2 linked regions of the Neodiprion lecontei genome follow. The protein of the gene in region 1 binds, or shares a complex with, the protein of each later gene. Links are inferred from orthologs where the notes say so. Each region holds a gene or a part of one and is shown in the gene's direction. Other genes may lie near its edges. The genes, in order: cleavage and polyadenylation specificity factor 73 and cleavage and polyadenylation specificity factor subunit 4.

Region 1 (4,960 bases):
TTGTAAATAAGTTTCTTCTAACGTTGATCTATTCATATATAGTGTTTGATCACCATGTTTTCATATCCTGAAAATATCAAGGATGAACATCAAACTATTTACTAAATTGAAACATTCTGCAAATTATCCCGAATGACGGTAAAAATAGTACAAGTATATATATTTTACATTTTATAAACGATTTAATTAAGTATAATACATGTTATTCTTATATCTGTTTCATCTCGGAACAGATATTTTTGCATTTAAATGCACTGTCAGATTCAAATTTGAACATATTTTCCAGCCTCGCCACTATAGCGCTCAGATCACAGGCGGCCATCTTGTGAAAATTGTGGAACAATTGCTGGCCCCTCGATTACCGACAGAAGACAGAAGGGAATGTGCGTCGAGAAGTCGGGCGCGTCAGAACATCCGCTCTGTAGTTCGCGTCGGTTCGCATCGCGATGCAGTTATCGTATATATTCGGCGCGATTGTTTTGTATATAATTATACTGTGCTCAGTGCCATAATTCATTTGTAAATGTTCTATTTATCTAACAACTTGCTCGTGTTAAGCGAAAGTAAATTATTTCTCAATAAATAAAAGTGTGATGTAAAGGTGCGTAGTTGACCAGTAATGAATCAGTACGACGAAATATAATTTTTCAAGTGCTAAACATTTGCCGATCGCAGTTTGTTTTATGCAGCTTCTTGGAAAAAAAAACGACACGTTATTTGCTCTGTAAAGTCTCCGTCGACATCTTTGTACCTTTTCTATTATTATACTTCGATATTTATGTATCGGATTTTATGTTAACTGTAACATTAACTTATTAATTACGTAGTATATCCGTAATCATCTAACTGCGATCAGCGATCAAAGTTCGATTTGAAATGATACGAACCTATGTTTACCCGGACGCATTCATGAATATCACGAGTTACTTATTCCAATGTTTTGTTGCTTTTGTATCCGGCTGATTCGCCTAAGTGAAACTCATATGAAAGATTTCCACTTATTGTTAAGGTGAGAAATTTTACTGTTATTTTTCATGCGTCAGTTTTTAGACGTTTATAAAATTGCTATTGTCAGTTATTCGAATTATCTTTCGGCTACGGGAAGTAAACTGATTTTCGGTCATCATTTTAATAATTATGTACGGAGATCGACGATAATGTAAGTGTTTGTGGTTCAAGCGATCGGAGTATATGGAAGTGAACTTTTAGCATCGCACAGGCGGTAACCGAATGGATGTACTCTATGGGTCAGCCAAAGTAAGTCTAGCACACAATTTATTATTTACAATTTTCTGGCTTACGACTCTAAATGACAGACCATGCATGCACAAATATTGTTGCGATGATTTTGCGTTGCCTTAACACCGCGTTTATATCGTCCATTTAGAAGAAATCAAATTTCGAATGGCTGTGAAAAATTGTGCGCCTGCTGATACGCAACCAAGTACAGACATGTATATATAAGTATATATATCATCCATAGAGATATATCGTCACCCGATACTCTACTTCATTGTCGATAGTAATCAAAATGGAAATAGCTTAATTAATGAAACCATAGACTTATATATAAAACAGACTGAGCATTAGGTCGGAGCGAGTGTCCCCTGAACCTCGATTCCCCCGTTTTTGGTGCTATCCTTGTCTTACATCCGCAGTTGATACTGCCATCTCTTTCTAGCGATCTCGGGGTGGGGATATGTAGGATGGCATACCTGCAACTGCCCCTCACTTGCCTTTCTCTTCCCCTCTAAGCGCTTGGCTCAGAAAACCCCATAAGAAAGAAAGAGACAGCATCAACAACGTTAGGCGTTCCAGGGGTCGAGGGAAATGGCCGGGGTGTTCAGTCTACCTTATAGGTATATAAGTCTATGAATGAAGCTTTGTGTTTATGTTATTGTGCCTTGTGTATGCCTACGCGTGTGTCACTGCGATGAACCAATTTGAACGCATTCATTCAATTGTTTCGTGCAAAACGTGAATTACGCAGATTTCTTGCGTTGCCGGTACCTAGTTTGCAAACTGTTTTAATTTCGCGATACACCGGACTGCTAGTTGGACTTGGACATGTCCATACCTTTAAACTTCAACGATACAAATCGATATAGCACGATATTTCAATGAATAATGATATCGAAGGAGTTATACTAGGTTGAGAGTTGTTTCTACACGTGAAGTCTGTTATTGATTAACAAGTGTATATTCGTACGTGTCTCGGGATAACACAACCTAAAAAATGTCATCTAAACGGAAGCCGGACACCCAAGTGCCGGCAGAAGAAAGCGATTTACTTTCGATTCGGCCGCTTGGTGCCGGACAAGAAGTTGGAAGATCTTGCATTATGCTGGAATTCAAAGGAAAAAAGATAATGCTGGACTGTGGAATACATCCAGGTCTCTCCGGCATGGATGCTCTTCCATTCGTTGACTTGGTAGAAGCCGATGAAATCGACCTGCTTCTGATATCTCATTTTCACCTCGATCACTGTGGAGCCTTACCTTGGTTTTTGCAAAAAACTAGTTTTAAGGGACGTTGTTTCATGACTCACGCGACAAAAGCTATATATCGCTGGTTGTTGTCCGATTACATAAAAGTCAGTAACATTGCCACGGAGCAGATGTTGTATACCGAGTCTGACCTAGAAACTAGTATGGATAAAATAGAGACGATAAATTTCCACGAGGAAAAAGATGTCTTCGGTATTAAATTTTGGGCATATAATGCTGGCCACGTTCTTGGCGCTGCTATGTTCATGATCGAAATTGCTGGTGTTAAAATACTGTACACAGGTGATTTTAGTCGGCAAGAAGACAGGCATTTGATGGCTGCCGAAATACCAAACATTCATCCTGACGTTTTGATAACTGAATCCACCTACGGAACTCACATTCATGAGAAGCGGGAAGATCGAGAAGGAAGATTTACTAATTTGGTACACGAAATTGTGAACAGAGGCGGAAGATGCTTGATTCCTGTATTTGCCCTGGGACGAGCACAAGAGCTACTGCTAATCCTGGATGAATACTGGAGCCAACACCCCGAGTTGCATGAAATTCCCATTTATTATGCTTCGTCTTTGGCCAAAAAATGTATGGCAGTTTATCAAACTTACGTTAACGCGATGAACGATAAAATACGGAGACAGATAGCAATTAACAACCCTTTTGTATTCAAGCACATATCAAACTTGAAAGGGATCGATCATTTCGAAGACATAGGACCTTGTGTCGTTATGGCATCTCCTGGTATGATGCAGAGTGGCTTGTCCAGAGAATTATTTGAGTCTTGGTGCACTGATTCGAAGAATGGAGTAATAATCGCCGGTTACTGCGTAGAGGGGACTCTGGCCAAAACAATCCTCTCCGAACCCGAAGAAATTACAACCATGTCTGGTCAAAAATTGCCTTTGAAAATGTCAGTGGATTATATATCATTCTCAGCCCATACCGACTATCAACAGACGTCAGAGTTTATTAGGATTTTGAAACCACCACATGTTGTATTGGTTCATGGGGAACAAAATGAAATGGGCAGATTAAAAGCTGCTCTACAAAGGGAATACGAGGACGATCCACACACCATAATGGAGATACACAATCCTAGGAATACAGTGGCAGTAGAGCTGTATTTTCGTGGTGAAAAAACAGCAAAAGTTATGGGAACTTTAGCTATGGAAACTCCAAAACCTGGACAGAAGTTATCAGGTGTTCTGGTGAAAAGAAACTTCAATTACCACGTACTGGCGCCTTGCGATTTATCGAAGTATACCGATATGAGCATGAGCCAGGTGGTTCAAAGACAAAGCGTACATTTTTCTACATCGTTACCGGTATTGAAACATTTGCTAACGCAAATTGCTGGAAGCATAGAAAATATCGATGATAAAAAGATGAGAGTATTCAAAAATGTTGATGTTATTGTAGAAGGAAAAGTTGTCACAATGGAATGGATAGCGACTCCTGTAAACGACATGTATGCAGATTCAGTTTTGACTGCAATATTGCAAGCTGAAATGATGGAACAACCGCCGAAAACACTCCCTGCACCAACGAAAATGGACCGAATGCATTTCAAGGAATGTCTGATAGAAATGCTTCAAGAAATGTTTGGTGAAGATTCGGTACCCAAAATTTTCAAAGGCGAAAAACTATATGTTACAGTTGATGGTAAAAAGGCTCACATAGATTTGTTAAATTTAGAAGTAACAAGCACGGAGGATGAAACCTTTCAACAAATAGTCCAGACTGCCGTTTCCAAGTTACATCAGTCATTGGCTCCGCCATGCGATACTTTATAAATTTTTACATTTACAACCTTGTAAATCTAATTCATTAAATATTCCATATCGGATCGATATTTTCAACATGCAATTTGTACTTCTCTTTTCCTAAACCAATAGATTTAAATTATGATACATAGCTAATAATTTTAATTGTGTATATTTTTCTACAAATTCAGCAATACAAGTTGATTCGGTGATAGCAGCAATATGAAGATTAGTAAATGCTGCATTAAATATAATTGTTATTAACAATAGTTGTATAAAAATGAACAATTCAATTTTTATCATGATTTTTTCTGTGTACAAAAATTGATCCATCTATATCGCAATGACACGAATTTTGCATGTAAACTTACCACTATTATTCAATGTTTTAATTCTACACAATTTATGAGATCTATTACACTTAAATAACCTATTTCAGAAGTTTGAGAACTTGACATAAATAATATTTACAATTAGTGGATCTTATAAAAGTTGTGATCATTTATAAAATATTCGTAATTAAATTCTTAACATATAAAAATTCGCAAAAGCGAAAAATATATAAATTAAAATAAATAACGTCTTTCAACAATTAAAAAATACATTCAGATGATTCTATGGGCTTCTGAACAGTGTATTCTGTTAGACTGCCCCACGTCGGACCAACTCTGATTTTAACAGGCAATGGAATTG
Region 2 (6,663 bases), on another chromosome or scaffold:
AAAAGATTTCTCTACTCTAGTGCTCTGGGTGCGATCGCAAGCTTCTAAGCGAAATTTGTTCTACTTTTTTCGTTAGCTAGGAAAATGTATTGTGTTACTTCCTGATTCGAATACTATTCCTACTCGAACTTCCTGAGTGTGTCCGTATTTATTTATGGTTTGTTTACATCTAACTCTTATTCTCCAGCATGGTCATGCAGTTGAATTGGGAATTGAGGATCGTTCTGTCTACATTTGGAGTATGGAGAGATTCTTCTTTACCTTTATGGTTAAAGGGTGAGGAGTATGGGAGAGATACTTGAGCCCCTAGCACAATGAGAGGGAATAAGAAATAGGAATGACAAATAAGTCCTACGATTGGAGTAGCTTTTCCAAAGCGCGTGGTGATTGGCTAATTAATATTTATTATTACTTTTTATTTCGTTTCATTCTGCAGGGTATGAAGGGCAGACGTAAGGACGATCTCCGTGAACCTTTCTTATCTCCTTAGAAATCTAATTGAACCTTGATTGCTAAGCGCCAATCATAGGGTTACCCTTATTACTTATGAGTGCTATTCTGGCTTGTTGAACCATTATTTATCCCTTTGTGCCTGATACTTTTCCAGTTGAAAACCCATATGAGATACTTCTTACCTCTACCCTCCATAGTGCAGGGGTTCTAAAGCGTATTTTTTCCTGGGTGTCGGAACATCTGAGTGGAATGCTCGTATATTTTATTTTTTATTACTATTCCATGTCACTAACACTACTAATAAACTCCAAGTGTGAGAATCTTGTAACCAGAAATTACGATCAAACCATCTAACTATTCAAAATATCCCTGGTTGGAATATGTATAATAATAATAAACCTTAATCAAAACCTAATAGTGTTACAAAATCTTGCATCATAGAAAAATACAATATCATTGTTTAGTACTACAATTGACTAACACTCATTATACCTAATTGTATGTTATATCATTTGCGAACGCGGAGTTTGGAGCCGTACCATAGGCAACCTATGTTACACTGTAAAATACACAATAAAATACGCATAACACAATTAAATCATCATACATCATCATACATCATACAGAGTATTAAAGTTTGGAATCAAATTTTGAATGTTCGGATGTTCGGATGTTCAAAAAGTGACGTCACCCAAAATTTTTTCTCTCTGACGTCATCGATCTATAGTAATCGTAGGCGACGAAAATCAGCTCGCCGAATTCCTCAGTCCGGAAACAACCGCGCAGTAGAGAGGACGTGTGAGAATCGCGCTCCACAGATTTCGAGTACTAGGTTCTCTACCGCCTGGATCCTGCGCTCCAGATCAGCTACCTGGTGAACCTCGACTTCCACGACAAGCGCTGCGTAGTTTCTGCGCTCCAGATCCGCTACCTGGTAAAACTTCCAGGACAAGCGCTTCGTGGTTTCTGCGCTCCAGGTCCACTACCTGGTGGAACTTGACTTCCATGACAAGCGCTCCGTGGTTCCTGCGCTCCAGGTCCGCTACCTGGTGGAACTTGACTTCCATGACAAGCGCTCCGTGGTTCCTGCGCTCCAGGTCCACTACCTGGTGAAACTCGACTTCCAGGACAAGCGCTCCGTGGTTTCTGCGCTCCAGGTCCGCTACCTGGTGGAACTTGACTTCCATGACAAGCGCTCCGTGGTTTCTGCGCTCTAGGTCTGCTACCTGGTGAAACTTGACTTCCAGGACAAGCGCTTCGTAGTTTTGGCTGTCCAGATCCTTTACCTTGTGGATTTCGACCCTAATTATGAGTTTCAGTGCACGTTTACAGCCTCATTTCTATATTTCTCATTTTGAGGAAGAAATTCGTCGGCAAAGGTCATTGTTAAACAACTTGCAAAATTATCTCGTCTCCTTTGCTGTTTTTTTGACAGGTTATGGAAAGGTTTTCTCAGACTCATTATACTGTTAATATGATGACGCCTTTATATTATTACATTATATAATTTGAAACGTATACCTTGGATATTGTAACTGCCAGTAGGTGATGTTCAACGATTAAAGTACGATTTAAATGAACTAGTTCAAAAAAATTAGCGTAACAGGCACGAGACCTTACTGTCTAATTAGTCATACAAGTGTCGTTCGTTGCGCATCGGGTGTTGGATAAGTGGAAGCAGTGTGTTGTCTAGTTATATTTGATTTGATTCATGCCCACGCAGTACTTGAAAATTTGAATATGGCTACCCTTGTAAACTGAGATGCGAATTCAACGTGATAAGTGGAAAACAATTTGTTATAAAAATGGAGTGCATTGTAGCTAACGTGGAACACATGAAATTTGACATAGAAATCGCTCTGGACGAACAGTATGGAGCCCTGCCGTTACCTTTCACGGGGATGGACAGTATGTATTACGAGTTTTGCTCATAAAAATTGAGGTTATGCTCGATTCATGCGCGACTTATACGGTAGAAAAACATTGATATTTTATTGCTGATTTTGTGCTTTACCGCTTCATTTTACCTGGTTATACTAAATCATTAAATTTTGATTTGTTTTTATTTCTCTTTCATATTACATCATATCATATTACCATTCCCGCCTCATTAAGGTACTCCAAGTAAACAAACTTGCTGTCAAAATTTGACTGTTCATTCTGGATGTATATTGCTCTAAGACTATTTTTGATCAGTTTGTAAAACTTTCACAGAATCCATCGCTGCAGTATGTCAATTTTATCCACGGGGAACCTGTGTCAAAGGAGGCTCTTGCCCTTTTAGACACGTCAGAGGGGACAGAACCATTGTATGTAAACACTGGTTGCGAGGTCTCTGCAAAAAGGGAGACCAGTGCGAATTTCTTCATGAATATGACATGACTAAGATGCCTGAATGCTACTTCTACTCCCGATTCAGTAAGAGATCACTTTATACAGAATTCATTGTTCGTTTCACATTTTGCGTTGACAAGAAATTGCTTATGTCATTTCACTGTTTTCCAATTCACTTGCTACTTTCCAAACATTTTTCCACAAACAGAACTTGATTCCATAAAAATGATGATTGCAAGTGACGAATATGTAACTGTATATACTCTTTCATTATTTACCTGTTTGATATTTATGTATAAAAAGGCATTCAAAGTCAAGATTCGTTTATTCAATTCAGAACAAGAAAAAGTGATACTTTTCATTTCAATTTTGGTAGTCTGTTATCATTATAGCTATTCAATTGGACAATACATGTGGGGCCTTGTCTTGTTCAAGATTAGAATAAGAAAAACGAGTTGCATTTTTTTTTAGGAAACAATTATGGAATTTATTTCAAAAAGTACTTTGGAAAAGTAGAATATGGATTTTCACAAATATGCGGTTAATGAAAAACATATTTCTTAGTTACATTCTTGTCGAATTTTCGATGTCAATGAAATTCCTTCTGGGACACTGCTCTGGTTACTGATTAAAAAAATGTAGATAATGTTAATCCTTGATTTCAGATGCGTGCCACAACAAAGAATGTCCGTTTCTTCACATTGATCCTGAGACAAAAGTTCGTGATTGTCCTTGGTACGATCGCGGATTCTGCAGACATGGTCCTCTCTGCCGGCATAGGCATGTACGAAGGGTTCTATGCATGGCATATCTAGCCGGGTTTTGCCCAGAAGGACCAAACTGTAAATTCATGCAGTAAGTTACAAGAATATTGATTTATCATCTGTGTATCCTTTATTTTTATCTAACAACCAATTTCATATTACAGAATTAGAGAATTAATTCATCTGTTTTAAAACAATGTGATTTTGATTTATTACACCATTACATTGCTTCTGAAACACAAGAATCACATACATTGGAAATCTTGAAAATCCTTGAAATTTGAGGTTTGTTTTTATATACATTTCCAAACTCGGGAGTCATGCAATAGTTTGTAAACAGCCGATTTTTCAACTGCGGACCAGGTGCAAAGGTAAAACAATTGCGACTCAATTTTTTTTCAATGTGCAATGTCTAACAAATATCTGTTCCAAGGTAACGTTGTTATATTTCAATTTTGCTAGAACTTATTTGCTTTATTGTGAGATCAAAAATTGCCTGTTGTGCAGTTTCACAAATACATCGAATAGGATCTTTTATGGCGCAAAGCACGTCATAGAAGATACCAAACTTATCATGTATATCATGTATATCATGCTAATGTTTGTTATTATACTATGTTGATGACTTGGCAATTGGGTTTTTTTACTCTAGCGATATTTACATTTGAGTTTCGTCGCGAAGAGACACATTTTTGACAGTGTGTGAAGCTTGTTGATGTGTGCACACATGTGCTATATGTGGAATTTTGTGAATTTAATTCGCTTAACCACTTAAACGGCAGGCCGTTTATTATTGCTGATATGAAATACAACATATCATATTAGCGAGAAAAATTTGCTAGATAAGCACTTATCTAGCAATAATATATCTAATCAATAATATATATCTAATAAATGGCCCGCCGTTTAAGTGGTTAAGTGAATTGAAATTACAAATTTTTGGAAAACTTCGGTGTTTTGGCACCTCCAAGTTATTTTTAGTATGGGCTGTACACTCAAATATAATTCCCGGGTTTCGGATCCCCCTCAGCAATTGCATTCCATTACGTTATTTACGTTTTGTTCCAGTCCTCGTTTTGAGCTGCCTGCAGTCCAAGATATGCAACCAAAGGAAGGAAAGAAGGTGATGATAACATGCCACTTTTGTGGTGAAGGTGGTCACAAAGCAATCTACTGCAACAAGATGCCTCCTGATATTAGAGAAGCTCAAGCAAGGCAAGAAATGGAGGGTGGTGGCCAGGGAGCACATCCTCCACATCACCACATCAATTCACACAGCGGTCCCCCTCCACGAGGACCTCAGAAACCTTTGGAAGAGGTGACATGTTACAAGTGCGGTACAAAAGGACACTACGCGAATAAGTGCCCAAAGGGACATTTAGCTTTCCTCAGTCACACTGGAGGAGCAGCGGCAGCTGCCAGTGGTCAAAATCCAAGTTACAGACGATGAGTAGTTCGTCATATGTTGGAAGTATGATCATTTTATTCTTTGAAATCACTTGAATATAATGGTACTTGTACGTATTATAATAAAATAATAATAAAACAATTATATTGTACATAGACCGGTTAGTCTGAAACTCAGGACTCAAAAAAGAACATTTCATCACAATTTTATATCAGATGTACTTAAAGGTGGCTGAAAAAAAAATCGAAGAAAACGTCTTCGGATTCTCACTGTCTTACACTTCAGAGTTTTAGTTTTGCAGCTAACAATGTACAAGGAGGTTCATATGTAAACAAAACAGTAATTTCCTTTGGTTTGTGTATATTCAAGCCTGTTAAAATTGAGATTTCATTTGAAGGCAAAACAATTGTACAAACACGGTCTCATAGTCCAATCTCATTTTAACTCATTTTTACTTTCAACAATTATACAACAATGCAGGGGTAAGAGATAGTGAAAATGAACAAAGCATTTTTTGACTCTCCCCGGTGTCTGTTGTAAAATTTTTAAACAGAAACACCATACACAGCGCAACATTGTCACCGCCGATAGGCTGCCGTCAACCGTAAATATATCTGAAATGTGAAAAATAACGAATTATAAAACATGAACGTTACAAGAGTCTCATGCTTTGACACAAACATAGAGGATAATTTTTCTATGGGATGGTAAGAAACGTGAATCATAAAATATTCAGGGTTTAAAGAAGGAAAAAATTTGGATTTATGACATTTGTGTCAAGTGCAATCGTTAACGACATGTAAGAGTCAACTGCGTGTTCTTTTACGGAATGGAATATTTCTCCATTCATGATATGACACTGTATCAAAAAGTATGGCATATCTCTGGCCTAAACTTAATGAATTATGACATACTAAGATCTCACGAATTGTTAGCGAGTAACACATATTACGGTTTGCTACACTCAAAACTTAGCAAAAATCAAGTTGATATTGCATCTGGCTTAAGAAATATCGAGTGAACCATGAAAACACATTTTACCCGTTTTTATTCCTTTTGTAAGTGAATTTTGAAAAATGCTGTATTTCGTTTTTAGGTATTTCAATGAGTAGTCGTTAAAAGCAAAGCAGAGTCGCCATCTTACCGGACCAAAGAAATATTGAGAAATTTACGAAAACACGTTTCATCCCTAGAAATCAAGGTCCAAAATCCTTTGTTATTCGGTGCTTAAGTTATGAAAGGAATATACTTCCTAAATTTCATGTATATGGATCTAGAGGTTTGTACTGGGCATTGGTGAGTCACTCTGGACATCTTCTTCATACAATTATCCACAATGGGTATCGCTAACACAGAAAAACTCTAGTACCCAAATGTTCAGGTACCATAATAAGTCAGATTATTCTTTTACATCAAGTTGCAGTGATTAGCTGAAGGGTAGCTAGTTAGCTAGAAAACAGTACAATAGTTTTCTCCCGAGAGTTCAGTATTAGGATTACTCGAGCACATATTCAGTGTACCTACATCTCCTCTGGTAGATTTTGACTGCTTCAAGGCTACCAGTATCGTCTGCTACAATCTATTTAATCTACATAGGAGACAACACGGGTGGCCTTGAATCGGTAAGAATCTACCTCAAGAGGTGTACCTCACACTTTTTCGATCTGTTCTCATCCTAATTTCGCTATGTTGAATAATCTAGAT

What was found.
Region 2: cleavage and polyadenylation specificity factor 73 (region 1) and cleavage and polyadenylation specificity factor subunit 4 share a complex: the UniProt entries of both Drosophila melanogaster proteins name them as parts of the cleavage and polyadenylation specificity factor (CPSF) complex. The link is inferred for Neodiprion lecontei from reciprocal best matches to the Drosophila melanogaster genes Cpsf73 and Clp.

Annotation. Positions count from the first base shown.
Region 1 is NC_060260.1:5,311,868-5,316,827, forward strand, and holds cleavage and polyadenylation specificity factor 73, read left to right. Parts: upstream 1-1,761; 5' UTR 1,762-2,236; coding exon 2,237-4,297; 3' UTR 4,298-4,363; downstream 4,364-4,960. Other genes in the region: DNA polymerase theta, read right to left, coding at 4,860-4,960. UniProt on the Drosophila melanogaster protein: Component of the cleavage and polyadenylation specificity factor (CPSF) complex that plays a key role in pre-mRNA 3'-end formation, recognizing the AAUAAA signal sequence and interacting with poly(A) polymerase and other factors to bring about cleavage and poly(A) addition.
Region 2 is NC_060262.1:20,763,381-20,770,043, reverse strand, and holds cleavage and polyadenylation specificity factor subunit 4, read left to right. Parts: upstream 1-2,044; 5' UTR 2,045-2,258; coding exon 2,259-2,361; intron 2,362-2,667; coding exon 2,668-2,871; intron 2,872-3,452; coding exon 3,453-3,642; intron 3,643-4,619; coding exon 4,620-5,001; 3' UTR 5,002-5,922; downstream 5,923-6,663. UniProt on the Drosophila melanogaster protein: Component of the cleavage and polyadenylation specificity factor (CPSF) complex that plays a key role in pre-mRNA 3'-end formation, recognizing the AAUAAA signal sequence and interacting with poly(A) polymerase and other factors to bring about cleavage and poly(A) addition.